4 linked regions of the Saccharomyces cerevisiae S288C genome follow. Changing the gene in region 2 together with the main gene of any one other region gives a genetic interaction. Each region holds a gene or a part of one and is shown on either strand. Other genes may lie near its edges.

Evidence for each region.
Region 1: of HEM1 (region 2) and CHO1, changing one suppresses a phenotype caused by changing the other (phenotypic suppression), as found in Saccharomyces cerevisiae (one study listed by BioGRID).
Region 3: mutations in HEM1 (region 2) and PDR11 impair growth when combined (synthetic growth defect), as found in Saccharomyces cerevisiae (one study listed by BioGRID).
Region 4: of HEM1 (region 2) and END3, changing one enhances a phenotype caused by changing the other (phenotypic enhancement), as found in Saccharomyces cerevisiae (one study listed by BioGRID).

Annotation. Positions count from the first base shown.
Region 1 is NC_001137.3:203,219-210,304, forward strand, and holds CHO1 (CDP-diacylglycerol-serine O-phosphatidyltransferase), read right to left. Parts: upstream 5,257-7,086; coding exon 4,426-5,256; downstream 1-4,425. Other genes in the region: carnitine O-acetyltransferase YAT2, read left to right, coding at 1-1,745; GCD11 (translation initiation factor eIF2 subunit gamma), read left to right, coding at 2,033-3,616; GAL83 (Gal83p), read right to left, coding at 5,761-7,014. UniProt on the Saccharomyces cerevisiae protein: Catalyzes the synthesis of phosphatidylserine (PtdSer).
Region 2 is NC_001136.10:921,917-929,598, forward strand, and holds HEM1 (5-aminolevulinate synthase), read left to right. Parts: upstream 1-5,535; coding exon 5,536-7,182; downstream 7,183-7,682. Other genes in the region: PCF11 (Pcf11p), read right to left, coding at 10-1,890; IVY1 (Ivy1p), read left to right, coding at 2,869-4,230; COX20 (Cox20p), read right to left, coding at 4,377-4,994; RTN1 (Rtn1p), read right to left, coding at 7,554-7,682. UniProt on the Saccharomyces cerevisiae protein: Catalyzes the synthesis of 5-aminolevulinate (ALA) from succinyl-CoA and glycine, the first and rate-limiting step in heme biosynthesis.
Region 3 is NC_001141.2:325,063-335,379, forward strand, and holds PDR11 (ATP-binding cassette multidrug transporter PDR11), read right to left. Parts: upstream 7,381-10,317; coding exon 3,145-7,380; downstream 1-3,144. Other genes in the region: YIL014C-A (uncharacterized protein), read right to left, coding at 150-464; alpha-1,3-mannosyltransferase MNT3, read left to right, coding at 1,041-2,933; YIL012W (uncharacterized protein), read left to right, coding at 7,949-8,290; TIR3 (Tir3p), read left to right, coding at 8,665-9,474; thioredoxin peroxidase DOT5, read left to right, coding at 9,820-10,317. UniProt on the Saccharomyces cerevisiae protein: Transporter involved in the uptake of sterol.
Region 4 is NC_001146.8:465,657-472,910, forward strand, and holds END3 (End3p), read right to left. Parts: upstream 5,447-7,254; coding exon 4,397-5,446; downstream 1-4,396. Other genes in the region: TCB2 (tricalbin), read left to right, coding at 1-291; SNN1 (Snn1p), read left to right, coding at 678-986; MKT1 (Mkt1p), read left to right, coding at 1,475-3,967; Ca(2+)-binding ATP:ADP antiporter SAL1, read left to right, coding at 5,721-7,205. UniProt on the Saccharomyces cerevisiae protein: Component of the PAN1 actin cytoskeleton-regulatory complex required for the internalization of endosomes during actin-coupled endocytosis. The complex links the site of endocytosis to the cell membrane-associated actin cytoskeleton.

The sequences.
Region 1 (7,086 bases), on a different chromosome or scaffold from region 2:
AAGAAACTACCAATGATGGCGATGATACCGCTGATATCAGTCAAATGTTTAACAGGACTATCACTGAGCGAGACAAGAAATGTACTTCCGCCAATTGTAAGAGAGTGTTTTACGGTACTTCTATAATAAATAGCAAAGGCCATCAAGTGGGTTCATGTGTTTCTCGTTGGTATGATAAATTACAGTTAGTTGTCACTGCAGATGCAAAAGCCACAGTGATTTGGGATTCCTTCACATGTGACGGGTCAGTCGTGCTTCGGTTTACTTCTGAAATTTATACAGAATCAGTCTTGAGATTAGCTAGAGACGTTAACGCCGGTGACCCACAGTTTTCACTCTGGCCTAACGTGACACAAATGGATCCTGAAACTAAAAAACTGATGACGGCGACCATAAGTGCCGACGGCGGAGGCCCTTCTGAAATTGACCCTAAGTTGGTTGTAAATAAAATCGATTGGTCTTTCAGTAACATCCTGAACACACATGTCCATTTGTCAGAAACCAAACTAGCTGATCTGATTTCCAAGTATGATATTGTTCGCGCTTCTATTCCATTGGGCAGAAGGTCAGCTCAAAGATTAGGAGTCAAGCCCGATTCGATGGTTCAAGTAGCTTTACAAATAGCTCACTATGCTTTGTATGGAAGAATGGTGTTTGGATTAGAACCAGTATCCACACGTGGTTTCAAAAACTCGAGATCATCTTTTATTAACATTCAAAGTCAAGCGCTGTTGGAACTATGTCAATTGTTTATTTCTAGCTCCATTGATGGGACAGATAAATTAGACAAATTTATCCAAACCTGCGAAACACATAATAACATGGTTAAACATGCAAAGTCTGGGGTAGGTTATGAAAAACACTTCAATGCATTGAAATATCTCTTCAAATTTCATGACCATTTTGGTATCCACTTAAGTGGTGATGAATCATCTGCTGCGAAAGATCTTTTCGAAAATCCACTTGTTTTACCTTTCTCACAGCCTGAGTTGATTGTTGCCAACTGTGGTAATGCTGCTACCACGACATTTGGTATAACTCCTGCTGTACCTCATGGCTTTGGAATAGGGTACATCATTAAAGATGATCAAGTAGATTTGACCGTGACATCGCAATTTCGACAGGGTGACAGGTTAATGTTTATGTTAAGTTGGGTGTTAGGCGAAATTCGTTCCTACTGGAGGATGTCACGCGGCACTTCTCATAATAAAACTGGCGTGAAGATCAGTCCAGTGGTCGATAAATTGTATGAAATGGACAATGCAGTCAATAATCCTCCGAAACGTAACGGCCATACAGTCAATGGCTCCCGCAAAACATCTTCTTCATCACAGGTAAATTTGAACAGGTATGGCGGGTTTTTCGATTTGGAAGGCCACATTGACAGTAGGAATATATCTAAAACACCATCGATGAAGAATTTGCAGAAAACCTTCAATGGCTTGACCATGAGCGCAGACAATGATCATTCAAGTTCCGCAGTTTCCGTTCCCACAGAAAAGGAAAAATTAAATACAGGCCATGAAATTTTACAGATCCAACCGCGGGAAGTGGCAAGTAATGGGTTGGAAGCAGATGATGAGACAGATATTGAAATAGTTGCTGGCAATGCTGATGGCACATCCTCTTCGGCATCTTCAGCTACATCTCTAAATTCCAAGAAACGTAACGTCATCAACTCAAGATTCGATATTGATTTTGACCGCAGTCGTGTGGGTAGAAAGGTGGCGACCTTAGATCAATAAGAACGCTCTTTGTTTATCTATTTATTACTAGCATTATGCGTAAGCTTGGCGTGATGTGATATATACTTGTTATATGAAGTATATCAATATGCTTTAATTTATGCTTATTATTTGCTCTCATGTCAGTAACCCGGACCAGATTTGCCATTGAAAAAATTTTCATAGAATAGCCCGATGCTGATCATCAGTACAAAAGACAGAGATTTCATCTCGACCTGTACCAGGAGCTAAGCAAAGAGGGCGGAAAGAGCGTAATACACCGTTAACATCGCGCATTAGAGGTAGACATGAGTGACTTACAAGACCAAGAACCTAGCATTATTATCAACGGTAATTTGGAACCAGTTGGTGAACCAGATATCGTTGAAGAAACGGAAGTTGTAGCTCAAGAAACACAAGAAACACAAGATGCTGATAAGCCAAAGAAGAAAGTCGCCTTCACTGGCTTGGAAGAAGACGGGGAAACTGAAGAAGAAAAAAGGAAAAGGGAATTTGAAGAAGGTGGTGGTTTGCCCGAACAACCATTAAACCCTGATTTTTCAAAATTAAACCCACTATCCGCCGAAATTATCAACAGGCAAGCTACAATAAACATCGGTACCATCGGTCATGTCGCCCACGGTAAATCCACAGTAGTTAGGGCTATTTCAGGTGTCCAAACAGTCCGTTTTAAGGATGAATTAGAACGTAACATTACTATTAAGTTAGGTTACGCTAATGCTAAAATTTATAAATGTCAAGAGCCTACATGTCCCGAACCTGATTGTTATAGATCATTCAAATCTGATAAAGAAATCAGTCCTAAATGTCAAAGACCAGGTTGTCCGGGGCGTTACAAATTGGTCCGTCACGTTTCTTTTGTTGACTGTCCCGGTCACGATATCTTAATGAGTACTATGTTATCAGGTGCTGCTGTTATGGATGCTGCGTTACTGTTGATTGCAGGTAATGAATCTTGTCCACAACCTCAAACCTCAGAGCATTTAGCTGCCATTGAAATCATGAAATTAAAGCACGTCATCATCTTACAGAATAAGGTCGATTTAATGCGTGAAGAAAGTGCCTTAGAACACCAAAAATCCATCTTGAAGTTCATCAGAGGTACCATTGCTGACGGTGCTCCTATTGTACCAATATCCGCTCAGTTGAAGTATAACATCGACGCAGTTAATGAATTTATTGTCAAGACTATTCCCGTACCACCAAGAGATTTTATGATTTCTCCAAGGTTAATTGTTATTCGTTCATTTGATGTTAATAAGCCAGGTGCTGAAATCGAGGACCTGAAAGGTGGTGTTGCCGGTGGTTCTATTTTGAATGGTGTTTTCAAATTAGGTGATGAAATTGAGATTAGACCAGGTATTGTCACCAAGGATGATAAGGGTAAAATTCAATGTAAACCAATCTTTTCTAACATTGTCTCCTTATTTGCCGAACAAAATGACTTGAAGTTTGCTGTTCCCGGTGGTCTGATTGGTGTTGGTACTAAAGTTGATCCTACCTTGTGTAGAGCTGATCGTCTTGTCGGTCAAGTCGTCGGTGCTAAGGGTCATTTGCCAAACATTTATACTGATATCGAAATCAACTACTTTTTGCTACGTCGTCTATTAGGTGTCAAAACAGATGGTCAAAAGCAAGCCAAAGTCAGAAAATTAGAGCCAAATGAAGTTCTTATGGTCAACATTGGTTCTACCGCTACGGGGGCTCGTGTGGTTGCCGTTAAAGCTGATATGGCAAGATTACAGTTAACGTCGCCCGCTTGTACTGAAATTAACGAGAAGATTGCTTTGTCGAGACGTATCGAAAAGCATTGGCGTTTGATTGGTTGGGCAACCATTAAAAAGGGTACTACATTGGAACCCATCGCTTAAGGAACCAATAAAACCACTGCAAAGACAAAAATTTCATAATTAATCTGAAAGAAAGTGAAGATAAGAAACGGGCTAGGAGGAAGGGAAACTGACACTTCTGGTTATTGCAATATGCTCATATACATTGATGCGTAATGACATTGATGATCTTTATTCTCTTTTTATAACGTTTTCTTTCTTTTTTTTTCCTTCTTACATAGTATTCAACTGTATATTTAACATGTTTTACGTATTTTTAAGAAAAAATTACTAAACGCGATAATATTAAGCAAATATTTATCTCATAGTTCTCGAACTCATTTATTTCCCATTGATGCCATGAAAACCTCTCAAACCTTTATCGTCTAGTTACACCAGTAGTCAATAAACTGCCTTTCTTTTTTTACACCCAACATACTCTACACTAAATCTTATCGGTGGTTTGTACATGGAGACAATTGCACAAAGATAATGAAGCTCCAAAATTATTCAGTATCTATTGAGTATATATAACCTTGAAAAGGTTTTATTTTATATAAGTTCGCCATCTTAGTATAGTGGTTAGTACACATCGTTGTGGCCGATGAAACCCTGGTTCGATTCTAGGAGATGGCATATTTATTTTTTATATTCTTAATATACAAAGAATGTCGTGTGAAGCTGTAGGCACAGGTAATTTTGTAACCATAGTCAGATGTGGTGATCATGAGAGCGAATTATAATTTTATACCAGCTGGCAAGAATTGAGTAATATTTAGACCAGCATATAAAAGTAGAATAAAAAGTTATATGTACAAATTTTTTTTGACGCCAGGCATGAACAAAAACTACTATGGCTTTGGAATTTTCAAGCTCTTCGAAATCATTCCACACCCATGGATAAAAAATACTAGAATAATTGGATGAAATTCCAATATTTGGTCTTCTCTAAAAATGCCGAATGGGATGTTATCAAAAATTAAACCCTTTCTGACACAATATGCCATACCCAACACCAAAGCTAGAGTGGTTGGCATAGGCAATCCCTCAAAATATTTAGATTTACCTGTGCTAGAATCTTTGGGTAATTGAGCAACGGTGACATTAAACCTTGCTAATCTCGCTAAGCCGCAAAGGACAAAGAAAGATAAAATCATGACATCGAATGTAGTTTGAAATCCAATGGCAAAAGCAATTGCAGCCGGAGCCACACCAAAGGAAACCAAGTCGGCCAAAGAGTCCAGTTCTTGACCCATTAAGGAAGACCTATTTCTCAGACGTGCTACTCTCCCGTCAAGGAAATCGAAACACATACCCAATAAAATAAAGAAATGGGCACGCTGGACGTAATGAGGTTTACCTGTAAGCGTAAATCTCAGACAACTTACAATAGAGTAAAACCCAGAAAATCCATTCAGCATAGTAATGTAATCTGCCATATGCAAATTCCTCATCATGCTGAAATGATGTTCGTCACTTGTAAATTTTTGGATATCAGTAGCATTAGGGGGGGCCAATGGAGTTGTATTTATAGAAAATATACTTGAGGCCCTTCTGCTTAATGTGCCACCAACTTCATCTGAGGCATACCCGTCATTTTCGTCTCTGTGTTCATTTACGATAACGTCTGTGTCCGTGTGTGGGAATTCTTGAGGTGCGAAATCTTCATCTGATTCAACCATTTTTTAATATATAGTTTTATTTTTGTTTTTTGATTGAATCAAATAGACAACTAAAAATGACAATCACCCACAAAATGAAAAAAATAGGTGTATCTCTCTTTCCTTATTTATAATGTTTCCTATAAAATACGGATCTTCATCTTTAGATGGGTCCATGTGAAAGCTCAAAGGCGTGAGGGTGCCGTGTGAACGTTCAAAGTGATTTTGACCAATTACTGATATATATTCAGTGTCTGGCACAGAAGTCTGCACACATTGAGAAGGAGTGGGGATTGATGTTAGGGATATCTTCTATAATGCTACTAATTTATATATACATCCCGTAACAATTATGTGCATATACGTACGTACGTACGTATATACGTATATACATTCCAACCCATATATACAAATACTTACATGTAGACCTTGATATTTAGTATCATGGAGAGCTATAATGGAAAAATCGCAGAAACATCTTCGCTTTTATCTAAAAAGATGTAGCTATAAGCTCTATAATCATATCTATTGCAATGGTGTATACAGTATTTGGGTCACGTATTTTTGTTTATACCTAACAATGGATGCGACACATAATGTATTATGCTTAATACTGCTTGTCGCCAGATGGTTCAATATAACATGGTTCGGAATGGGAAGGGCGCCAGACGTATTATCAGTTTGCGCGTTTGAGTAACTATTCAAAATGACGTTTTCTAAATGAGGTGGCAGTTGTGGAGGAGTCAACCAGGCCATATTTTGGTGATTATTTTGCTGCTGATCAAGTGTCAAATAATATTGTTCCATTACATTTGGGTCGGTGAACACAGCAGGTATATCTTGAGTGTACTCTAAATTAGGTTTAGCGGGGGTCTCATCGTGAAAACGAGTGTAACCATCGCCCATGTCATCTGGTTCCTTTTCTATCTCCAATGCGATTCTCGAGCGAGCGCTCATAGGTCTCTTACTCAATTTGCTATCATCTACATGATTCGCTTTTTTTTCAGCCAGATGCTGCTGAGGTTCATTGCCCCAATCAGGCGGTGCGCTCACTTCCATATAGTTGACGAAGTTTCCCATTTGGTCGGTTGCGGTAGGTAAATAATCACTGAATCTTAACTCATTGTCAACAATAAATCTGAAACGATGAGTACCTGGAGGCAGCTGTAATTTTACATGCATAAGTCCAGGCTGTCCAGGGACTGGTACTAACCCGATCATCTTTCTCCATCCCGTAAAAGACCCAGTAACGTACACTTTATTACCCCCCTGTTGCCAAGTGATGTCAACTGGAAACATCATAGCTCTTCCTTTCTTGCCTTCCACAGTGCCCTGTTGCTGTTCTTGTTGCTGTTGAAAGCCTTGATTTTGAAGTGAGTCAGGCTGCTGAGATGGTTGATAATCCATTTTTTGCAAGGTATTTCCTGTCATATCTGCATCGTGGATATCGCCTTCGTTGCTGTCGATACTACTCGAGCTGCTAGCATCGATATCATCATCAGAATCAAAGGTCTCCCCAGAACCATTTTCCGCATGGTTTGAATATGGAGGTATTTCATCGTCATCATCGTCGTTAAAAATTAAACTCGATTTATGTCTTAAAGGATGCTGAGGCTCTAATTCATTAGGATTATCTACGTTCATTTGAGAAAAAGTGTACGCCAGGGAAGCCTCATTAGTTGAATCGGCGCTATGTTTACCATTAATCGTAGTGTTGCTAGCTGCGTCACTGACATCTAACATGGAAGCATCCTTGTTTTCAGGGTTGTCGCCAGCCATATTTCAGTGTAGATAATTTATTATTGTGCAGGAAACGACCTTATACAAAATATAGTAGCTCTTATCTAGGAT
Region 2 (7,682 bases):
GTTCTGCTCTTATTTTGTGACCAATTTCTTTAAGTCATCCAAACCGACCTTGCCACTATTAGATTTGCTTGAATTTTGCGACGTTTCATGATAACATGTCGAGTGGAAATATTTGCCATTCACTTCAATAGTATTTTTCCAAACCCATTCACCAGATTCTTCATCATAAACGCCAGTAACGGTTTCCTTACAAATTGGACATTTGAAGGCCATATCTTGTGAAGTTTCTGGTACAACAACATATTTTCCCCGTATTTCCAACTCGTTACTTCTATCACTTCCTAAAGTGTTGTCTACAGAGCCTTCGTCATTTTCATCAGCGTGAATATTTAGGGCACTTTTATCGATATTTTTATTGGCATGCGGATCAGTATAATCATTTTTATGCTTTGTGGAGGTAATTTCATCATCTTTGAAGGCTGCCCATTGAGAGTCACTCAAATACCAGTTTCTTGATTGAATATTTTTCCTTGTGGTAGTTGTATTTAAGTTAGAGTTGCTTATGCCTGTATTTGCTGTGTTTTGTGATCCCTTAATTCTTGTATTTATTCTGAAATGCCAGTCCAAATGCTCATTTTGTAGTAGTTTTTCACTTTCTGAGTTGCCAAATCTCTTACCACACACGCTACATTTATTTGGCTTGGATCGGTATAATAAGTGAATAAGATTATTTTGGACGATGGGATTTTCTTGAAGAAGAGTTTGTTCGGACAGCTGCAGGGATGGGTTATTCAAAACGTCGATGTTAACCGTGGCAAAATAAGCTTTGCAGTCAGAAAGAATATCATTTAATAAGGGTATCTTTGGCAGGTTCTTCATCAATTGTTTTTCGTGTGAATCAAGAGAGTAGTTTGAGTGTCCATTTAGCTTTTTATAAAGCGTTACGATGGATTCTTTTGGTGGAGTATATATGAGCCCTTCAGCCTTAAGAGATGCATAGAGGTTATTGATTTTGTTTAGGGACTTTTTTTTCTCAATTTCTTGAAAAGATTCAACGCCAGAAATATTACCAAAAAGAGAGGAAGATAAAGAATTCTGTTGGTTCGTTGTATCTGAATTATTTCCAAACAATGGAATCGCTGAATTAGAGTTTTGTGTGTAAGAACCGACCATATCCTTAGTTTCGTGATACTGCTGCTGCTGCTGCTGTTGTTGTTGTTGCTGTTGCTGCTGTTGTTGCTGTTGCTGCTGAAGTTCGTGATACCTCATTCTTTCCTGCAAAACTTGTTGGTCCTGTGAGAAGACCTGCCTTAGTTGCATTTGAACTTGTTTCAGAGCATTGAGAGTTAGTTTTTCTCTTTTCAGTTCTTGTTTCAACTGAGATAAAACCAACAGTTTCATTTTTAATTTTTCATCATTTGGTTGATTCTTTAGCCTTTCACTAGTTAAACAAGTTAATTTATCAATGTCTCTTAATAGGAGGGGAACAGTCGGAGTTGGTAACATTGCTTGCAGGTTTTTCTGGTGGAGAGCACTGGCCTTTATTAAAAACTGTTCAATTTTCTCCAGTGCTGAGCCTTCAAACAGAGGCAGGCCGGTGTCATTAGGATTCAACCAAAGCTTAAACATATTGATGAGTTTTGTTCTTGTGGTGTTGTCCACCAATAAGTATGTTCTTTTGTACAAGTTAAACAAATTTCTACTGAAGTAGATTGTGTATGGGCTGCCAACATTCTTACAAATGGAGTCCAAGGCATAAAAAGCGTATAGCTTCTGCTTAGGCATACATTTTTCAATTCTACTCTCAATGGCGTCAACAAAATATTGAGCACACGAAATGTTTTCTTCTGCTAACTTCGTGAGAGTGGTAATAATGGGTCTCGAGTTAAAAGTTAATTCTTCAAGAATACTGTTGAAATCCTTGACTATAACTTCTGTGTCGTGATCCATAATGAAAAGAGAGTATTACAAATAGACCTAGTGTTTTCAAGTACAGTTTTCTTAACTGCTCCGAAAATTGTCCTGGTAATTCTTTGCAATGCAAAATTGAAAGAGAGACTTTTAAACTACTAAACCCTTAACAGTAGAACAACATTGTCTCATTAATTTTTGAAATTTCGCTTTCTTCCCATGCCTTAGGCCAAGTTCTCATCCAATGCGTCGAGTCCTTAAAAAAAATTCGCCCGGGTAAACTAAAACTTAGATGCACTAGGTAATACCATTTGGTGATAAAGGGAATAAAAAGCAGCAAATCCTAGCTCAATTACGAAACTCTGATCACTTGGGGCCCAGCTTCATTGGCTAAATTGGTGTATCCCTTGAACCGACTACGTAAGTACGTTTTGAAAAGTGTGTAAATCTATGTATAAAAGTACATCAAAAATTAGACTGAGAAAGTTCTGTATAGCTGTACTAATACATTAGGAATAGGCTAGACTTCTTCGCCGCTGGAATAAAACAGCTGGGCCTTCTCTTCATTGGTACCACTTGCTTTGCTCTATTGAAAGTACAAAGAATAGAGCAGACGAGTGTAAACATCCTATCTGCGTTCCAACAGAAGTGCGTATTGAAGTCATCTCATGCTAATGGCCATCTCATGTAGAATAGTAAGGAAAAACGTATCTAATTTATAAAAACTTGAGTTAGATCTCAAACTTCGGTAGATTGCGCCTTATTTAACGGATGATATACACTTATTCTACTGCTCACATTACTCGTTTTACAGGAAAAAATGGTCAATGCGGGCAAAAGAAAAAAATATTGGGCGATATGTTACAAGAAAAGGGTGAGATGGAAATTTATGCTAAACATTAAGTGGAAAAAAACCATATCCATACAATAGAAGTATATATTCTGAATAAAGGGTCAATTAAATTTCACCAAGGAATAAAATATTGTTAAAGAAAGTAACAGGAAGAGAAATCGGATATGCCTGACAATAATACGGAGCAATTGCAGGGATCTCCTTCAAGTGACCAGAGACTGAGGGTTGACTGGGACAACGGTAACCATTTTGACGTCTCTCCCGACAGATACGCGCCTCATCTATCTGAATTTTACCCAATTGTAAATAGTAAAAGACCAGTGGCTAGCAGTGCTGGCTCAGAAAATAACGACCATCTGGACGACATGAACCATTTACGTTCATCCAAAGTGTATTCAAAGGCCCGTCGGGCATCGAGCATAACTTCTGGTACGAGCACAATAAACGACTTGCAAACGCTAATCACAAAGAGAGATGTGAAAGAGACCCAGGAAGCCCTATCGACATTACTCAGGAACTCGAATGCTTATTCGGATTCGTTATTAAAGACATCTCAGAATGGGGCAGAAATTGCCCATTCCTTAGAAAACATTGCCAAGTTGAAGGGTTGCAATGATGAAACGGCGGAGAAACTATTGAGTGCCAGTGGGTTATTCTACCTTTTATCTAATCATCAGCTTATAATGTCAAAGTATTTCAATGACTTGTTGGGAGATAATTTAATTGATGATATTGATGAATTCGAATTACAGACCAAGATAATGGAGAACAAGTTCAAAGCACAAAGCAAAGAGCAAAGTTTAAAATTGAAATTGCAGGAAAGACATAACTTCGATATCTCGAAAAGAAAAATAAGGAATTTAATCTCATACCGAGAGAGCCTTTCTAGCTTGCAAGCAAGGTTAGATCAACTGGAGACACTAAAGCACGATTTTTACATGGATTCATACGAACTTGTGGAAAATACATGCAACAAAGTACTCAGCAAAGTTGCCACGGTATCTAGGGCACAAGTGGAAATTTCTGAAAATATTGCAAGGAAAGGTTGGTCTGGAGGCGGGCTAGACGAACTACTTTGTGATGCAGACGACCCCTTCAGCAAAAAAGCAGATGGGCCATACGGGACCATCGGTGGTGATGGAGAGACTGCTGGAGAAGCATACAACAGCGATGAGGAAACGGGTGGGAATGACGTGGTGCTCAATGAACTACTAGAAGGAACCAGCCAACCTTCCACATCAAAAACATCTTTACCCAAATCCAAGGGGTCCTCAACGGTATCCACACCGAATCATTCACAGTCAAGTTCAAACAAGGACGGGGTACGAAACAATGGCGGCGGCAAAAATGGCGAAGATGAGGATACAGACAATTTGATGGGAACAGAAAATTCATTTTCTTTACCGCCTACGAGAAACTCTGCCGAGGAAACCACACAAACGTTTAAACAATTGTCCATTAAAGAAGATAATGACAATCACAGCAGCGATACGGACGGCATGCAAGACCAGTCAAGTAATATATAAAATTTGTAACTCTATGTATGCTTTTTATATAGAAATGGAGAAAGTGAACAATTGAAGTTATAGTATTTTCGGAGAAATGTTGCATATATACATAGGAAAACGGTTAAAAGGCCCTGCTTCTACCTTCTGTTTCCCCCTCGTTCTTTTCACCAGAACTTGTACCATTTCTTCTCAGAGGAGGCCTGAGATAAATTCTGGTTACTTTGTTCAAACTGACTCTGCTTTTCATTTTTGGCGGCCTCCCATTGCCCCGGCAGAGATGGGTCATGAGGGACATTATGGAGCATTGGTTTTTCCTTTTTCGCCACGGTTTCCTTTGCCAATTGTGCGATCTGGAAACTTTTTTGTCTCTTTAGCCTACATTGCTCCCATCCGACAATCGAGCCCAGTATCAGAGAGCTCATCGCCCAATTCGTGGCCTTAGTCGGGCTCTTATGGTATATAAATATAATAGATCCCATCAAGAACATGCTGGAAAACCCGAGCATGCCCGCGTCTCTGAAGCACGGGATTGAAGTCAGCTTCTGCAAACTAAAATCACTCCATCTGATCGAGTCCCAAGCCTCTTTCAAAGTAGCCCGTTCTTGCTTCTTGGCCAACTGAGAATTGGACAAGTCATCGGCAAACTTGGGTGGAGTGTCTTCTAAGAGGATCTTTTGACCCCGCGAGTAATTTGTCAGCACGCGATCACCATCTGCTTTACCCTGCGGTTGTTGCTGCTGCTTTTGATCTTCTGTCTGATTTGACCACGGCCACCAACGCATCTTTATATTAACTGTTGAGCTGCTCGTTACGCACTGCTGTGGACTTCACTACAATGCTTTACCGAGCAGTGGAGTTTGATATAGTGGTGGTACCCCCGACGGTGCTATAATAAGCTTGCCTGCACGGCTTACCCTACCGCTCGGAAAGGCCGCCTTCGTCGCTCATTGGTCTGCGGCCGCGGGCGCTTTTTGGTCATTGTTCATATATGAAGAAAGAGCAGGAACGGAAATTTTTCATCTTGCCTTGCCCATTGTTCTGATCCATGCGTTGTTAGAAATACAACGTTTGCATCATACCAAACTTCTCCATTCCGTCAGCTGATACTCTATTCGGTTGTGTGTTGCACCCTGCTCTGCTGTCTCTCAACCGTTCTTCCTTTACACGCCTTCCCTTCTCAGCTCGCGTTTCTTTTTTTTTTATCCCACTCTTTTCTTTTTTCTTTCCTATATATTGCCCATATAAGTTTGGTTGGAAGGAAAACTAATAGAGCTAGTTGTTGTCCCTCAATAATCATAACAGTACTTAGGTTTTTTTTTCAGTATGCAACGCTCCATTTTTGCGAGGTTCGGTAACTCCTCTGCCGCTGTTTCCACACTGAATAGGCTGTCCACGACAGCCGCACCACATGCGAAAAATGGCTATGCCACCGCTACTGGTGCTGGTGCCGCTGCTGCCACTGCCACAGCGTCATCAACACATGCAGCAGCAGCAGCAGCCGCTGCTGCCAACCATTCCACCCAGGAGTCGGGTTTCGATTACGAAGGCCTGATAGATTCCGAACTGCAGAAGAAAAGACTTGACAAATCGTACAGATATTTCAACAATATCAACCGATTGGCCAAGGAGTTCCCCCTAGCTCATCGCCAGAGAGAGGCGGACAAGGTCACCGTTTGGTGTTCCAACGACTATTTAGCACTTTCCAAGCACCCTGAGGTATTGGACGCCATGCATAAAACTATCGACAAGTATGGTTGTGGTGCCGGTGGTACAAGAAACATTGCTGGCCATAACATCCCCACTTTGAATCTGGAAGCCGAATTGGCCACTTTACACAAGAAGGAAGGTGCCTTAGTTTTTTCGTCATGTTACGTAGCCAACGATGCCGTCTTATCCCTACTGGGTCAAAAGATGAAGGACTTGGTGATTTTCTCCGACGAACTCAACCATGCGTCCATGATTGTCGGTATTAAGCATGCTAACGTAAAAAAACACATTTTCAAACATAATGACTTGAACGAATTGGAACAACTGCTCCAGTCATACCCCAAATCCGTTCCTAAACTAATTGCTTTCGAATCAGTATATTCTATGGCCGGTTCAGTGGCCGACATAGAAAAAATTTGCGACTTGGCCGACAAATACGGTGCTTTGACCTTCTTGGATGAAGTACATGCGGTCGGCCTGTACGGCCCTCACGGTGCAGGTGTTGCAGAACATTGTGATTTTGAAAGTCACCGTGCAAGTGGTATTGCTACCCCAAAGACCAATGACAAGGGCGGCGCGAAGACTGTGATGGACCGTGTCGACATGATCACCGGCACTTTAGGTAAGTCTTTCGGTAGCGTAGGTGGCTACGTCGCAGCCTCTAGGAAATTGATCGATTGGTTCAGATCGTTTGCACCTGGTTTCATTTTCACCACGACTTTACCACCTTCAGTTATGGCAGGCGCTACCGCAGCAATTAGATACCAACGTTGCCACATCGACCTAAGAACCTCGCAACAGAAACATACCATGTACGTAAAGAAAGCTTTCCATGAGTTGGGCATTCCAGTTATTCCAAATCCTTCTCATATCGTCCCAGTGTTGATTGGTAATGCTGATTTGGCTAAGCAAGCTTCTGACATCTTAATCAATAAGCATCAAATCTACGTACAAGCTATCAACTTCCCTACGGTTGCTCGCGGTACCGAAAGATTGAGAATTACCCCAACGCCAGGTCACACCAACGATTTATCTGACATCTTAATCAATGCAGTTGATGATGTGTTCAATGAGCTACAGTTACCACGTGTCAGAGACTGGGAAAGCCAAGGTGGCTTATTGGGTGTTGGAGAGAGCGGATTTGTGGAAGAGTCTAACTTATGGACATCAAGCCAACTATCTTTAACTAATGACGACTTGAACCCTAATGTTAGAGACCCCATCGTTAAACAACTAGAGGTTTCTAGTGGTATCAAGCAGTAAAACAACCAATATATGCATGGGCTGAGATAGAGGTACAAGGAATTTGTAAATCAGTAAAAAAAAAAATTAACAGTTTTTTTTTTTCATTTTTTTTTTTTATTCTTATTTATGTATGATACTTTATTATTATTTCTCTTAATTATTTATTTATTTAACTAACACGATGAGCACTTTTAACTGCAATGGTTAAACTGTAGCAATGTTGGTAAAAAAGCAGGGAAAGTTCAAAAATAATTTATGTATTTTTCCTCGGGGGTACAGAAAGTAAAGAGAGAGAAACGTATGAGTATATATAGGCTAATGTAATATGTAGTGGTAAATAAAGAGACAAAAGTTAGCTATTCTTGTTTGAAATGAAAAAAAAAAAGCACTCAAGCGTTGTTTTTTTCCAATTCATTTTGCAAGTTTTTTGTACTTTTCTTCAATTCATTAGACAATTCATCGACGTTAAATTCTTGGGTAGTGGAAGGTTCGTGTTGTGGAACTTCTGGCATAACTTG
Region 3 (10,317 bases), on a different chromosome or scaffold from region 2:
GTCCTCGAGGAGAACTTTCAGTATATTCTGTATACATAATATTATAAGCATTTATCAACAATGGAACCCCCAACAATTATCTCAAAATTCACCCATTTCTCAAATATTATATAGCCTTTACTAACAACGGAATTCCAACAATTATCTAATTATTCATTAAATGGCCAGGAAAGTCCTGGCAGAGGGGTACTTTCATCAGTAAAGGAATAATTGTCCCAGTACTCCCCCGCATCATAAACCCACTGGGTTGCATTCTCCAAAGTTGGCACTAGATGAGTTGCTATTAATTCCTCCGTGCAGCCATTTATAGCGGACACATTTAAAACATAGTCACCTAACATTGGGTTAGTTGTATAAGATAGATAGCTAATATCAGGCGTGGCATTCCCCCAAATAATCAATAAGTTTGCTGATTCATTACTCATCAAAGTAGTTATACTGGGATAGTTCATGTCAATGTCCATTTCTTTTCAGAAAAACAGACTGTTAAATAAAACAGGCCTTAAACTTCAATTTTTGAACTTTTTTCTACTTTCTGCCTTTAGCTCTGTTGTCTCATTAAAATAGTACATAATTTGTGCATAGCTACTTGTAAGAAGCAGTCGAGTAAATGTTTGGAAGCTGTTTGCAACCACATTTTAAATGATATCCTTTATGCGATAATCTCATCTACCGTAAAATACGAGCTTCTATGGCCAAGTTGGTAAGGCGCCACACTAGTAATGTGGAGATCATCGGTTCAAATCCGATTGGAAGCAATTTTTTTTCTTTGAAAGAGAATCTTTTTCAAATACGGAAGAATGAAGAAGTATCGACAATGCAAATTACCTTAATGATCTCGTCTAAAAAAATTTTGAAGAGGAATTATTCTGATTTACACGCAAAAAGTGGCAATAATCTACTCTTTAATTTGGTATCATTGTTTGTCTTAGTACTTAAATTGTGCCTCTGGAACTGATCAAATTCCTTTCTCCATCACATGAGTACGAGGAGGGGTGTTAAGGAATTAAAGACAGTCTACTAAAACTATTTCCCTAAGCATGCTTAAATCATTAAAATCCAGAAGACTAATCTTAAAACGATTAGTAACACTGCTGCTCTCTTTATTCTTTTCTTATCTCATTTTCTCTGCCAGTCGGAATGTTACATCATCCAATAAATTAAACAACCATGCAAGCGAGAGGACAGCTGTTGAATCATCTGCATTCAATTGGATTGAAAAACGACAACACCAAGTGAGATCCGAAAACTTAATGAACAGATTATCTGCCTACTTTTTGCCCTTTTTGAGTAGAAGTTCTCACAAAGAACGTGTATTGTTGAGGCAATTAGGAAATAATGAAATAGCGAAGAGTGACAAGTGCCGTTACATTTTTGAAGTACTATACAAGATTGATCCCGACTGGGACAATGCGCAAACTGCAAAATTTTATAATGTTGATGGTGTAGATAACACGTTGGCCTCATTGTTAGGGGAAAGATTAAGATCTTATGATTATTGCTTTTTATCTGGTCAATTAGATCCTACTGCAATATTTGCAAATTCAACCGTAAATCCTCATGATTTGCAAAACAGAATGTTTCCATTTCTGAAGAAAATTAACGAGGAATCCAAAACTGTAATGTGGCCTATTATCACAGACATGACAACTGGAGAGGCAGTTCCGGCACCCGAGGTTGATATGGAATCATCAAACTTTAATGGTAACTTTTGGTCCAACTGGAATAGGTTGAGCAAAGGAAGAGGTTTTGTTTTAACTATTGCTGAAAAGGATGTTCCTTTATTTTTGAAACAGTTGAAAGTGATGGAATTTTCAAAAAACGAATTACCATTCCAAATAGTATCCACGGGAAATGAACTATCAGCAGAGTCTATTGCTAAAATTTCTGAGACCGCTAAAGAAACGGAACAAAGGGTCTACTTAGTAGACTGCTCGACAGTGCTTGACACTAATTTTGCTAATACATACATTTCTTTTTTTCAGAATAAATGGGTCGCCACTTTGTTCAACACATTTGAAGAATACATTTTGTTGGATGCAGACGTAGTACCGTTTGTAGGGTCTGATTACTTTTTCGACTCTCCTTCTTACAGGGAGAGCGGGATACTTTTGTTCAAGGATAGGGTTATGGAAAACGAGCAAACTTTCCAATACTGCATCGAAATGTTAAATGAAGTGGAACCCTCTGCACAAGAACGCAGATTTATTGGAAGTAGGTTAGTTTTTGATTCGTCATTACCGTTTTCTTCCGAAACCTCAGAAGAAGCATCTGTGTATTACAATTTTTTCAAAAAATTACGACTCCATCATGTTGATAGTGGTTTGGTTGTAGTCAATAAACTTGAGAAATTAAATGGATTGTTGATGTCTTTTATGTTAAATTTGGATGGAAAATTGCAGAGGTGTGTGTATGGTGACAAGGAAATATTCTGGTTGGGGCAATTATATGCTGGCCAGGATTATTCTATCAATCCCGTTGATGGCAGTATTATTGGACCTGTTAATGAAGAGCCTGAAAATGATGACGGACATAAAAGCGGGATGTACTACATTTGTTCTACGCAGATTGCACACAGTGACTCCAAAAATCGATTACTATGGGTAAACGGTGGACTGAAGACTTGTAAAATTTCGAACAGTGCTGAAGATGACTTTGGAAGAGAGCCAGAGTATTTTAAGAGTAGATATGGGGACATTTCAAAATTAAAAAGGATATATGATGCTTCGTTGAACGTAGAGGGACTAATCGTTCCTGACGTTTCTGTTCATCCATGGATGCAAATCAAGGAATGTTCTAATTATATGTATTGTGCATATGCTACGGGTGACGGACACACAAACTCTGAACTTGACGAAGGTCGTCTAATCACGTTTACTGAAAAGGAATTACGATATATCAATGATATTTCTCGAACCTGGAATGCTAATTGAGAAAAAAAAAAGTGAAAAGGAAATGAGAGTATTAATATTTATTAAGTATGGAGCATATATAATCCGAAAAATGATTATAGATTAATTTAGAATATGATTTGGGAATAAATTAACAATTAGTTTAAAGCAGAAGGCAGCCGGATGAGGAACAAGAACTGTTGAATAGTATTAGGTAATTTTGAATGTTTTCTAACGGAACGCTATTCACTGATTATACGCTTTGTTCGTTTGGATTATGAGATGTTTTGGACCGCCTCATTGATGGGATACACTTCTTTATACCATCAATCACAGAAGGCCAAATTTTTTTGATGTAGGTTAGGTAGAAGCCCACAAACATGGCGGCAATGTTAAAGCAAACGAAAACCCATTCAAAACCAAAATTTCTCCATCTGTGATGATAACTCATATTTTCTTGAGCAAGGAAGTCATCCCCAACAGTGTACATGCAGTAGGCGCAGACGGTGTATGTGTTATTGATGTGCAGTTTCCCACCAAATTCATCAATAAAGGGTTTCATAAACTGACCGCAGGTTTGACCCATTACAGGTTGGCTTGGTACCATTTCACTTGTCGAGCAGTTTACTTCTCTGTCATGGAGAAGTAAGCTTACGAAAGTTTCAATGAAATACGTGTATGGTGAAACCCTGTACATGAATGTCCAAAATCTTGGGAATAACGAGTATGGTTGCATAACGCCACAGAATGAAGCTGTGAAACTATAGAGGAAGGCAACAAAGACAGCGGCAGTTTGTAAATCGGGGGCAGAATATAGAAGCCACAACCCAAATGACAAATAATACATGGAAAATAAAATATAATTCAAGTAAAAGACACCAGCTACACGGGCAGAGGTTTCGAAACCGCAACAGAAGTAGCAACACAGGAAAAATAAGGTAGAACTGGAAATGGCTAATGGTAATTCAACAATAGTTTGAGCAATCAAAAGAACGGTCCAATGATAAGTATTAGATCTCGCTTCCCTGGCGATATATACTTCTTTAGATTGCAAAGCCTTATCTTGAACCTGATTGATCAAAGGGGAGGAAACACAAAGCATCATGAAGCACAAGAAAATAGCATCTTGCAGACCGTTGATATTATGCTTTGTCCTCCAAAATGAAAATCCAATGAATAGTCCAGCGCCAGCATTCAAAGCATATTTAGCGAAAACATAGGTCATGTCTCTCTTGGTACAAATGTACTGTCTCTTTGTGATTAACTTTATTTGTTCCATATACGAAGGCGGACTCCATACGGACGTAGTGAAATCAACACCAGATTTCCGGGCTTCTTCTTCTAATAAAAGCAAATCATCAGCAACCCGCACTTTTTCTGGAGAGGATTGCCAGAGTTCTGCCCAGTTAATTGAATCAGATTGCTTATGGTAAGATACTGGCTCATCAATTTTGCTTGAGGTTGGCTTCTCTGCATCATCCATTGGAATATTTGTACTTCCGCTACCAACAACGTCAATAACGAAATCAGCCGGATTATCCATTTCTCTGTCAAATGTTAGGCGTCTATCGTGAGCTACAAAATAGTCACAGGCATTAGGTAATGAACCAAAATAGACACACTCACCACCTCTTTTTAGTAAATAGATGTTATCAAAATAGCTGATGACACTTTTGCTAGGCTGATGAATAGTACATAAGATAGCCTGACCTTGCATCGAAAGCTTTTTCAGAAATTGCACGATGGTTAAAGCTGCTTCGGCGTCTAGCCCTGAAGTAGGTTCATCTAGGAATAACAACAGAGAAGGCTTAGTGACCAATTCAACACCAATAGATAATAATTTTCTTTGAGTTGGAGATAAATCAGCAACCAGTTTTTCCGAAGGCAATCTTAATAGGTTGCTAACAACTCCTAAATAGTCTCTATCCCCATCACCTCTTAGGACGCAGGAAATTTCCAAAGACTCTCTCACAGTTAAGAGCTCTAAATGAACATCTTGCTGTTGAACGAACCCTATACTTCTTCTGAATGCATCAATATTCGTTAAGGGCTGTCCATCGATTAATAATTCACCGGTAACAACCCCGCTTTCGGTCCTTTGAGACAAGACATTCAACAAAGTTGTCTTACCAGCACCAGATTCACCCATTAGGGCAGTTAATCCGGAACTTATATATCCAGAAGCGTCGTTGATCAATTTTTTGTCTCCAATGGTATAATTGATATTTTTCCAGGAGATGACGTGCTTTTGCGTTTCCATAGCTACGGATTCCTTAGTATGATTGTTAACAGTTTCATCTGGATGTTTAATATTGTAATCAGTATCGTATTGATGCGAGACTGATGGAACAGAAGAGGATGAAGTGGAAAAATTGGCTATCGGGGTCTTGGGAGTACATACGCCATCGTTGTTGGTAATAGCGCTTTTATTATTCTTTTTTTGGCTATTCAGAAAGGGACAGTATCTTTTGAGATAGTTATTCCAGCGCAATAAATTTTCTCTAGTAAACAGAGGCGTGATATATTCCGCTGCTAGTAAAGAGCAAAATAGGAAGAAACACAGAAACCCAATGATAATACCGAAATTTCTCCACACGTGATGGTAAGTGTATTTCAATCCACTTTTTAAATAATCACGGCCTCTGACGTAATCGTTACCTAGGGTAGCGCCTTGCCAGGCACAAGCTTTATGACTGAATGAAATATTGTCATAATATTCACCTCTGGGAATAATACTTTCATGACAGTCTAGTTTCAGGTTAAACAATTCGTTACTCAAAATGGCTTCCATGGCAAACATAGCAGGATTCAAATATGCAATCCATATGAACCATGGATGCATATCTTTCATATAAATAACATAGGACGCGTACATGGCAATGGCTAACAGTAAGATACCGGCCAATAGGTTTGCCATTGATAGAGTTGGAGCGATCAAAGCAGTTAATGCAAATAGTGACACCATGCAAAAATTATAGACGGAAAGGAAAAGCAAAAAGATGAAAAACCTAGCTGCATTGTACTGTAAATGGGCCAAAAAGTAAAGTATGATTGTAAAAATAACCACCAGTATAAATTTAGAGCAGCAATCGAAAAAATTTGTTGCTAAAGTTTCCACCCAATTATAATAAAAATGGAGCTGGACATGTTTACGAACGACGGGTTGCCTTTGAAAGGAAGCAGGCATGTCGGCGAGAGAAAGAAATGTAAAGAATAGGATGGAAAAGAAAGTTAAAGATCCTCTAGAAAACGAACCAATTGTTGTCAGGGGAATGTTATAAAAAAGGGACCCAATAACCAAAGACTGCACCACAACAGAAACAAATTGAGAAATCAAGTAGTTTCTGTCACCAATGATTCTTTCGAAAGCTCTTACAGTGCACGTTTTCAGTTGCGTCTTTAGCGGAATACTAAAAATGGGGGAGATATCATCCGGATTAACATCTTTTCTGGTGCATTCTTGCACTGTTTTTGAAGTGATGGCCTTCCAGTGTTTATAGTATGGAGACTGAATCCATAATGTATGCAAATCTGTTTCATTATTGATGTTTAAAGCTTGATTTTCTTCAGAAACAACAGATGGAGTGTCAAGACCAACAATGGAATTAGACGTTTCCTTGAACTTAAAATTTAAGATTGATGTTAAATATTCAATAATACAATCGTTAGGGTTTTTTTTTATCTGTAAGGTGTCATGAAAATGGGTTAAACACTCCTCCATGGTTCCGTAAAACACCTGGAAGGAATCACCTAACATAAGAATCTTGTCAAACTTGCTGACAATTTTGTCGCTTGCTTGAGAAATTTTAACAAAATTCACCGATCTTGTAGCTTTTGCCATCTTTTGGGTAATGGAAAGAAATTCTAGGGCGGTGGCAGAGTCCAAACCCTTCGTCGAGTTGTCCCATAAGTAAACAGACCCATTGGCAATAAACGTTTCTATAATGGAGATACGTTTCCTTTCACCTCCAGAAACACCACGAACGTAGTCATTACCCACATACGTCTTCTTTACGTGCGACAGTCCGAACTCTTTTAATAACTCGTCTCTCATTTCAATACGCTCTTGCTTGGGAATGTGAAACTTACAACTCAACGCAAAATCAATGGTTTGCTCCACCGTCAGATACGGGAAGTGAATATCTTGTTCGTTATTATAAATGATCTGATGGGGGCATTTGGAAGCAAACTGTTTGTACTCATTGTCTTTGAATCTAATAGACCCTTCAGGCGAGTATTTCAGATGCTTGTGACCATGGAATAGACCTTTGAAGAGCGCTGATGTTGGGTTTCCCAGTACTAAGACGACTTCACCTTCATTAGCACGAAAAGTGATATCACTAATTTCTAAATGGCCTACGTTTTTGAATTCCGATGCGGACTCTTCATCGTTCTGAACAGCACCGAGGGATTCTTCCAATTGAACGGTAGCCCCATCAAAGGTGACTGAAGCGTCAGGAATTGGATTAAAATATTTGGAAAGAGACATCCGCGAGGCGTTGCTTCTCTAATTTTACTCTATCGTGTTTAGTTGTGAATTTTTTTGCTACAGTATGCAAGTTCTTTTTACCAACCCGTTTACGAACTAATGAGAAAAGGGTTTAAGTGTGTGATAATACTATTAATAGCTAAAAGAGCAGAGAGCTTTACGATGTTGTATGTTGTTTTATATAGGTGAGAGCAGGATCTGCGGAAAATACTTCGTACCGTAGTATCCATTTTGCCTATGGAGGAAAGCTTGTTTCCAAACCAGGAGATCCGCAGACAGGAAAAGTTCGAGGCCAAACAAAAACCGCAGCACAATGGAGTAAAAGTCGAAGGCACGGGCCCCAAACGATAGAGTGGAAGTTGTAGGAAACAAAAGTGGCCGTCTATGTGGCGCTTCTCTGCGGTGAATTCTGTGCGAAGTGCCTAAACGAAAACGGACGGAGAAGGCTGCGGGGGGATATCCCTTGCATAAAGGATGCCCGGCACTGTCCTAGACGGTGCCTTCCCTTAGAGACTAGGAGAGACTTGAGTAGGAGAAACTGAGCAGGAAAATTCGAGAGATAAAGTACATGTGCCTAGGTAAGCTGTACTTCGAACAGCTAATATTAGTAAGATGCATAAAGGGGCGTCAAAGTGGAAATATAACGACAGGAGAATCTCGGTGTGTAAGTTGGAATGTGTATTGCACCACTTCCATGATTGGGCTTTTTTCCTGGCGCAAAATGTTGCTTTTTCAACATTTTTCTTATACGCAGAGAGAGAATCGTCAGATAGGTGGTAAAACTTGGAGCCTAATTAGCTCATTATTTCATTTGAACGAGACATTGGCTTCTGCCCTACATCACCCATACGAGACATTGGCCTTATACGAGGCGTACTTCGCCTTGCGGGAAAAAAAATTTCTTTTGTAAGCGAGGTTACTCAGAAACTGTGACTGAAGGCAGAGGTTGGAAACGTGTGTAGACTCCAAATGGAACGATAGGAACGTGTACCCTACCGCTTCTGCACACGTTTCTTAGATATGCGTGCCTTAAGGCGACCCATTGTTCCTGTTTACCATGATTTCTGTAGGCTTTTTTTTAGAAGGCCCTAGAATGGATTGCAGATTTCCGTCTGAGAAGGCAGTATACGTACATATGAATATATATATACATATATTCTTTGGTGGAGAGTATAAGCGTTTCGTCTCCTCTTCCTTTCTCTACTGCAGATTTTCTTGCTGGTTGTTTGATTTTTTCTTTTTAGTGTTCCCCAGATCCAATTGTTCAACCGCCCACACACAACAATGTCTTTCACTAAAATCGCTGCCTTATTAGCTGTTGCCGCTGCCTCCACTCAATTGGTTTCTGCTGAAGTTGGACAATATGAAATCGTCGAATTTGACGCTATTTTGGCTGATGTCAAGGCCAATTTGGAACAATATATGTCCTTGGCAATGAATAATCCAGACTTTACCCTACCATCTGGTGTTTTGGATGTTTACCAACATATGACCACTGCTACTGATGATTCCTACACCAGTTATTTCACCGAAATGGACTTTGCTCAAATCACCACTGCCATGGTTCAAGTGCCTTGGTACTCTTCTAGACTGGAACCTGAAATCATCGCTGCTTTACAAAGCGCGGGTATCAGTATTACCTCCTTAGGTCAAACCGTTTCCGAATCTGGTTCCGAATCTGCCACTGCTTCCTCAGACGCTTCTTCTGCTTCTGAATCCTCTTCAGCTGCTTCTTCTTCTGCTTCTGAATCCTCTTCAGCTGCCTCCTCTTCTGCTTCTGAATCCTCTTCAGCTGCTTCTTCCTCTGCTTCAGAATCTTCTTCTGCTGCCTCCTCTTCTGCTTCTGAAGCTGCTAAGTCTTCTAGCTCTGCCAAGTCTTCTGGCTCTTCTGCTGCTTCATCTGCTGCTTCATCTGCTTCTTCCAAGGCCTCTTCTGCAGCTTCCTCTTCTGCAAAGGCCTCCTCTTCTGCAGAAAAATCTACTAATAGCTCCTCCTCTGCTACCTCCAAGAACGCTGGTGCAGCTATGGACATGGGCTTCTTCTCCGCTGGTGTTGGTGCCGCTATTGCCGGTGCCGCTGCTATGCTCTTATGATTGTCACTTATTAATGATAAATTATAAAATGTTATATGTAAAAAAACAAATATACACTTTTTGAATATTAGTATCCTATTTTAATATACTGTCTCCTAGATAATACAAACTTAATTTGCTTTCTCTTCACACTTTTTTCTTTACTCTTGTAATGTACACTTGGCTGTACATTAAAAAAAGGAATGTTCGAGCAAGAGCATGAAATCCACAGACGGCTGTGCCATGTAGCAGCCGTCGAGAAAAAAAAGATATAGAAAAGGGAAGAGAAATATCATTGTTATTACATCCACTGGATGAAGTAATACTACGAGCTTTATACAGGTAATATTAAAGTTCCTTAATAGAATGGGTGAAGCACTACGTAGATCAACCAGGATTGCAATATCCAAAAGAATGTTGGAAGAGGAAGAGTCCAAACTGGCCCCTATTTCGACACCGGAAGTGCCTAAGAAGAAAATCAAGACGGGTCCTAAACATAACGCTAATCAAGCAGTAGTTCAAGAGGCAAATAGGTCATCTGATGTTAACGAATTAGAGATAGGCGATCCTATTCCTGATTTGAGTCTTTTAAATGAAGATAATGACTCTATCTCCTTGAAGAAAATCACCGAAAATAACAGAGTTGTGGTGTTTTTTGTGTATCCCAGGGCAAGCACGCCTGGTTGTACTAGACAGGCCTGTGGATTTCGTGACAATTACCAGGAACTCAAGAAATATGCTGCTGTCTTTGGACTGAGTGCAGATTCTGTGACATCCCAGAAAAAGTTTCAGAGTAAACAAAATTTGCCATATCATTTACTAAGCGATCCAAAGAGAGAGTTTATTGGGTTGCTAGGAGCCAAA
Region 4 (7,254 bases), on a different chromosome or scaffold from region 2:
ACCTTTAATATACCGTTAGTGGGACCAAAGGGAGAAGATGGCGGTGTGCTACATCTTGAATTTGAGTTTGAACCCCGCTATACTACCAATGTAGTCAAACGTGAAGCCGGGCTTGGAAATTTTGCCACGAAAGGATTAGGTACAGGCATCAAAGCTGGTTCTACAGTTTTCGCCTTAGGAACCAATGTTGTAAGCACCGGATTAGGAACAATTGATAAAGTAAAGGCCGGAGTCTTTGGTGGCAAGAAGTCTACAACCACTGGGGACAAAAAATCCGAAGAGAAGCAATAATTCTATCGATGGTAAAGAGTATGTGTCACGAAATCATCTTGATGCCGCAATGTACGAGCAAAAAAAGAAAAGAGAAATCAATCTTAACAACTCAACCATGCCGAGTGCTACTATAGTACTTTTCTTTATTACTACGTATGTAAATTGTAACAAATGTGTACTTTTATGTGTGTTCTTAAATGGGAAACTACTTAGCGTTTTGTTCATTTCCAGTGTTAAGTAGGAAGAATGACTGAGCGAAAAAAACCGTAGAAGTAGAACTTAAAATAAGAACGGAGGCTAAACCACCAAAACAGCTCATCAACAGTTAAAACACCACCAATATTTCCAGAAAAAAGAACTGTAGATATAGTCTCATTAGTATTTAGAAGAAAGAGGATTTTGCAATGGCAGGGGATAGTATAAGCGCTGACGGCACTGGCGTCCATCCAGTTGAACTGTCGGTGTATTCAGTATTGTCCACCGATTTAGACGGACTGTATCAATCGATCAATGAATTACGCGAGTCGCAAGCACTACTCATCCTTATGCTTCGGAAGGTTCGCGATAAACTTCGAAGAGAAGGTCAAGTCCTTTATGACCCAGAACCATTCAAACCAACCATGGATAAACTGGCTGACTTATCTGCCCGTGTGCGCATTCTCTCACAAAGATACGAGGAGCTTCAGGGGAATGCTAGAGCCCTCAACAACTAAGTAAACATACACATGTATAGCATAATCTTCGATTCCTTTTACCCATTCGTAGATGGCATCGACAGTGTACTTATAATACTACCGTGAGAAACGATATTAAGAACAAGACGAAAAATGGTGGAAAATCTGGAAAGCAAGAACGTAGCACGCTAGAGTTATTCTAGCTTGTCAGCTCGACTGTTTAATTATTATTGTTATTATATTAACATTAACGTAATAACCATTGAACTACATTAAAGAAATAACTGTCTCGCTTATATCTGGTCTATTTTTTGTTTTTTGCCTTTCCTTTTAAATTCTTTATAACCTTGAAAACAAAAAATCACATTGGTAAATTACAATCATTTATTACCAAATTTGTCCATTAACTATTTTAGCGTGACTGACTGATAAAGACTGTTTCACTCTCTTTATTTATTCATAACAAAAATTCAGATATTTTGAACTATAAAGTACTAAAGGCAGAAAAATTAATAGCAAATTAAGCGATGGCAATCAAGTCATTGGAATCGTTCCTTTTCGAAAGAGGTCTAGTAGGATCCTATGCCATTGAGGCTCTGAATAATTGTACCCTGGATATAGACGTCAACCATTATGTTTCCAGATTGTTGACCAATAAAAGAGAACAGTATTTGGATGCCATTGGTGGTTTCCCTACCAGTTTAAAAATGTATTTGGAAAGCGACTTAAAGATATTCAAGGATTTCAATATTACCCCTATTTTTGTCTTTAATGGTGGTTTGACTTACAACCAATTAGAGGCATCGGGCCATTTTACTGCAGCATCTGCTTCTGCGTCGATTTCGTCAACCACTACTTCCAGCAGCGGTACCAATGCCACAACAAGATCCAACACGGAATCCGTTCTTTTGCAGAGAAGTAGAGGCTGGACACAATGGAACAACTTGATTAGTTCGAATCAGAATTCCTATATTGACCAGCCTATTCAACCCCAAGAGCCATTCAGACATAACACCACAATTGACTCCAAAGCTTACCAAAACGATTTGATCGCTTATTTTATTGAGCATGGGTATATGTACCAAGTGGCTCCTTACTCCTCTTGGTTTCAACTAGCATATTTATTGAATAGCGCTTATATTGATGCGATCTACGGCCCAACTGATTGTTTGATGCTAGATTGTGTTGATAGGTTCATTTTGGGTATGGAATTTCCAAATAAAGAATTTCGATTCATTGACAGGTCAAGAGTGATGAAGGATTTAGGTTGTACCCATGAAGAGTTTATCGATATTGCTATGGCTGTAGGTAATGATTTGCAACCAACAACTTTACCACCATTGCAAATTTATCCAGTTCCTCAGCTGTTTGATATTGCTCTAGAAATGGTTTTGAATACAGGTACAAACTTCTATGCCTATCAACTATCTACAACCTTACAAAATGACTCCAAAGAGAATATTCAAAACTACCAAAGAGGTATTTCTGCATTAAGATACATGCCAGTCTTGAAAGATACAGGTAAAGTTGAATTATTTGTTCAAGAGATCGTTGTTTCAGAGGAGGACAGTGAAAAGAATAACAAGGATGGAAAAAAGAGTAATCTTTCCTCACCATCTTCTGCGTCATCTAGTGCTTCTCCTGCTACCACCGTGACTAAGAACGCTAGTGAAAAGTTAACTTATGAAAAATCCAGCACTAAAGAGGTTAGAAAACCAAGAGATATTCCTAATGATGTTCATGATTTTATCGGCCAAATGTTACCTCATGAATACTATTTCTATAGATCCATAGGACTGGTTACTGGAAAATTATTTGACGCAATTGTCACAGGAGTTTATCCTGAAGAGCCTCCATTGGGCGGAGGATCTTCTACATCCTACAAGAAACTGGTTTCCAAGTCCGTTGAAATCTTCAAGAATAAAGAAATCAATTTATTAACTCAACCAATTAACAGATACTATCAGATTAAACAAATTAAACAAGTCAAGTGGTATGCGGCAAATGAGCCTACCACTTTGACCAACAGGATGTCACCTTCTATGTTTGAAACTATCAACCACTTAATTGTTAAAACAGAAACGTCTGATGAAAAGGAATTTTCTATCTCTGAGTTCATTACAACAATAAATGGTTCTAGCAATATGGCGAAAGATTTTATATCTGAAAAAGTCATTTTCCCAAACTCCGTACCAATCGAATCCAAATTAAACTCACCATTTAATTTATTGTCGACCAATTTCTTAAGATTACTAGTACTATTGGAGTTCTTCACTTTTGATTTCAAGGAAAAACTGCTAGAGCCTACGAGATGGGGTGAGGTATTCTTAAAATTAAATGAGCTCAATATTGACAGTAAGTATCACGAATCAGTTATTATCTTTTTGGTATTTTTGAAATGCGATGTCTTAAAACTTGACGAAGAAGTTCAACCACCGGCTCCCTCAGCCCTATCTCAAGCCACTCTTCGTTCATATCCTGAAGAATCATTGTACGTCCTATTGATTACGCGTGTATTAACTTTATTTCAAGTGGACCAAAAGCCATCAAATTACCACGGACCAATTGATAAGAAAACTTTGATCTTTAGAGATCATCTTTCTTTCATAAAGGAAAATTTAAATGAACTTTTTGAAGCCGTTTTGATCTCATCTTTAACTTCTGGCGAGTTTAATAGATTATCACTTGATAACTTTGGTTGGGCAAGAAAGATTGTTAGATATTTACCGTTCAAATTAGATTCCCCAAATACTATAATGGCTATGATGTGGGAGTTTTTCTTACAAAAATATCTTCACAATGGTAATGCCAAGAATGATGCATTGTCTTTAGTTGCTACTGAATTCAACACTTACAAATCCACACCAAATCTTGATGAACAGTTTGTCGAATCCCATAGATTTCTTCTTGAAATTTCAAAAGTCATGCAGGAGCTAAATGCTGCGAAATTAATCGATGAAAACGTGTTTAAATTATTCACTAAAGCAGTTGAGTTTACTACAACAGCTCTATCTAGCTGAAGCGTGAGAATGAGTATGATGGAAATAGTGGAACTATTTAAAAAGCACCCAATAAAGAAAGATAGTTACTGTAAAGAGGTATATTATCATTATTCAGAGGGTTCAAGTACCATCATCAAGATTTAACACAAGCACAGTGAATAGCAACAATTAAAGAAAAAACTAATCAAAATCACGGTAGAAATAGGAGAAAAAAAGTAAAACAGAAACTAAGTCACTGTTTCTTTATATGACATATTCTATTATATAAATATGTAAAGAACGCTGAACAGTAAAAATTTTATGAAATTCCGGCAGAGAAGAAAAGGAAAAAATAAGTATACACCACACCGTTACTGGATAGATTGAAGTTCAAATCAAAAAAGTTTACAAGTGAAATAACAAACAGTAAATATTACACATTCATGTACATAAAATTAATTATCGGTGTCAATTGATTTCTGCTTGTAATGCTTGCAATTCGTGTCTCTTATTGTTCAAGTAATTCTCCAATACTTCAACCTGCTGTTCAATGTTATCCAAGTCATCAGTTATCGACCTGATGTTAATCCGCTTAGAAAGTTTTGAGCCTCCTTGAGTTTTTTCACTCTTTTTGTAGTTCAAAAGGCCTTCTAATTGTTCTCTCATGTTCGCAACTTGATCATCTGTCAGAGAAGCATATTTTTGCTTTATACTGTCTTCATTTGAAAGCACGTTACTGCCACTGCTATCGGAACTCGAGTTCTGCCCATTGTCACGCAGATTGTCCACTTCGTTAGCTTCTTCTTTTCTCTTTGTAGGAGGTTGAGAGGACCGTAAATCATAGCTCAGTTGTTTTTTATTGCACACCTCCGCCAGAGAATTTGGTAAACTTGCTGGAATTTCAGCACCCAAATCATTTCTTTGTCTTAAACAGTGAATAAAATAAAAAGTAGGATCTCTATCAATTGATGGCAAATTTTGTGGGTTAATTAAACTCCAAACCTTATTTAAATCTGTCTTACTGATGTTAAAAAATTTTGTGGAAAGTTTTGTTGACAGTTCGTTGAATGTAATAGTACCATCGGTTAGTTTTGCACAGCTATTATAAATTTTTTCATATTGATTCAAATCATCTGGAGACATGTACCAATCTACTTTGATTTCCTTCTTTGGAGGCAAGTCTGCGTTTTCTATTTGCTTGCGCTTCTTTCTTTCTTTGATTAGATTCACCTTACTCCCTGGAATCAACCAATCAGGCAATTCATCTGGAACAGAGCTAATGTTTTTATTAACCATATCAAATATTAATCTCATGCAAATTACAAATTCCTCAAAGTCTAAATTGTCGTCGTCATCAATATCAGCTAAAAACCAAATCTTGTTTAGAACCGATGAATCTAATTTGGAATTATAAAGAATTGGTAAAACCTGGTCATGGTTTACCTTATTCTCTATTGGTTTCAAACCCGAGAAGATTTGCCAGTATTTTTTTATTTCAAATTGTTCCAACTTGGGCATTTTTCAGAGATCCCTGTTATCTTTACCGGCCTTTCCAATACCCACTAACTCTATGGTTATATTACAATCGTCTGATTATAACAGGCAATTAACCTTGTGTTTCTGACGTTCTTTTCATTCATTCTTGATATGTTAAATCATAGGGGTCCTACACGATCGTCAAATATGATATTTAAAAAGTAATAAATAAAAATGCAGCTTTTTTATTAGCGATGGGAAATATTGAATATTTGAAGGGGCAAATAACGTTTAATTCAATCGAATGACGGTCTAAATGCTGCTGAAAAATTGCGAGACGGACAAGCAGCGAGATATACGGTATGCGTGTTTGTTCAAGGAACTTGATGTTAAGGGAAATGGTCAAGTTACTCTAGATAATCTGATAAGTGCTTTTGAGAAGAACGACCATCCGCTCAAGGGAAATGATGAGGCAATCAAAATGCTGTTTACTGCAATGGATGTTAACAAGGACTCTGTAGTTGATTTAAGCGATTTCAAGAAGTATGCTTCCAATGCCGAATCTCAAATTTGGAACGGCTTCCAGAGGATAGATTTAGATCATGACGGTAAGATTGGCATTAACGAAATAAATAGGTATTTGTCAGACCTCGACAACCAGAGCATATGTAATAATGAACTTAATCATGAACTTTCAAATGAAAAGATGAACAAATTCTCGAGGTTTTTTGAATGGGCGTTTCCAAAGAGAAAAGCCAACATTGCGCTACGAGGCCAGGCTAGCCACAAAAAGAATACTGATAATGATCGGTCAAAGAAAACCACCGACTCAGATTTATACGTTACATATGATCAATGGAGAGACTTTTTGCTGCTGGTACCGAGAAAGCAGGGTTCGAGACTTCATACTGCTTATTCCTATTTTTACCTATTCAACGAAGATGTCGATCTGTCCTCAGAGGGAGATGTTACTCTCATAAACGATTTCATTCGCGGGTTCGGGTTTTTTATTGCTGGTGGTATTTCAGGTGTTATTTCAAGGACTTGTACCGCGCCATTTGATAGACTGAAAGTGTTTCTCATCGCAAGAACGGATCTATCCTCGATCTTGTTAAATTCAAAAACAGATCTCCTTGCTAAAAACCCCAATGCTGACATAAACAAGATATCATCTCCATTAGCAAAGGCTGTCAAAAGCTTATATAGGCAAGGCGGGATAAAGGCTTTTTATGTTGGGAACGGTTTAAACGTCATCAAAGTTTTTCCAGAAAGTTCGATAAAGTTTGGTTCTTTCGAGGTCACCAAGAAAATAATGACCAAATTAGAAGGCTGCCGCGACACAAAAGATCTTTCAAAGTTCTCTACTTACATTGCTGGTGGTTTAGCTGGTATGGCAGCTCAGTTTTCCGTTTATCCTATAGATACTTTGAAATTCAGGGTGCAGTGCGCTCCTTTGGACACAAAGTTGAAGGGGAATAATTTGCTCTTTCAGACTGCAAAAGATATGTTTCGAGAGGGGGGGGGTCAGATTATTTTACAGAGGTGTCACAGTCGGTATAGTGGGCATATTTCCCTATGCTGCATTAGATTTGGGGACTTTTTCTGCCTTAAAAAAATGGTATATTGCCAAACAGGCAAAGACCCTGAACCTACCACAAGATCAGGTCACTCTAAGCAACCTGGTTGTACTTCCAATGGGTGCATTCAGTGGAACTGTAGGAGCTTCTGTTGTTTATCCAATCAATCTTTTAAGAACAAGACTACAAGCCCAAGGAACATATGCACATCCTTATGTGTATAACGGCTTTAAAGATGTTTTGTTAAAGACGCTAGAAAGGGAAGGTTATCAA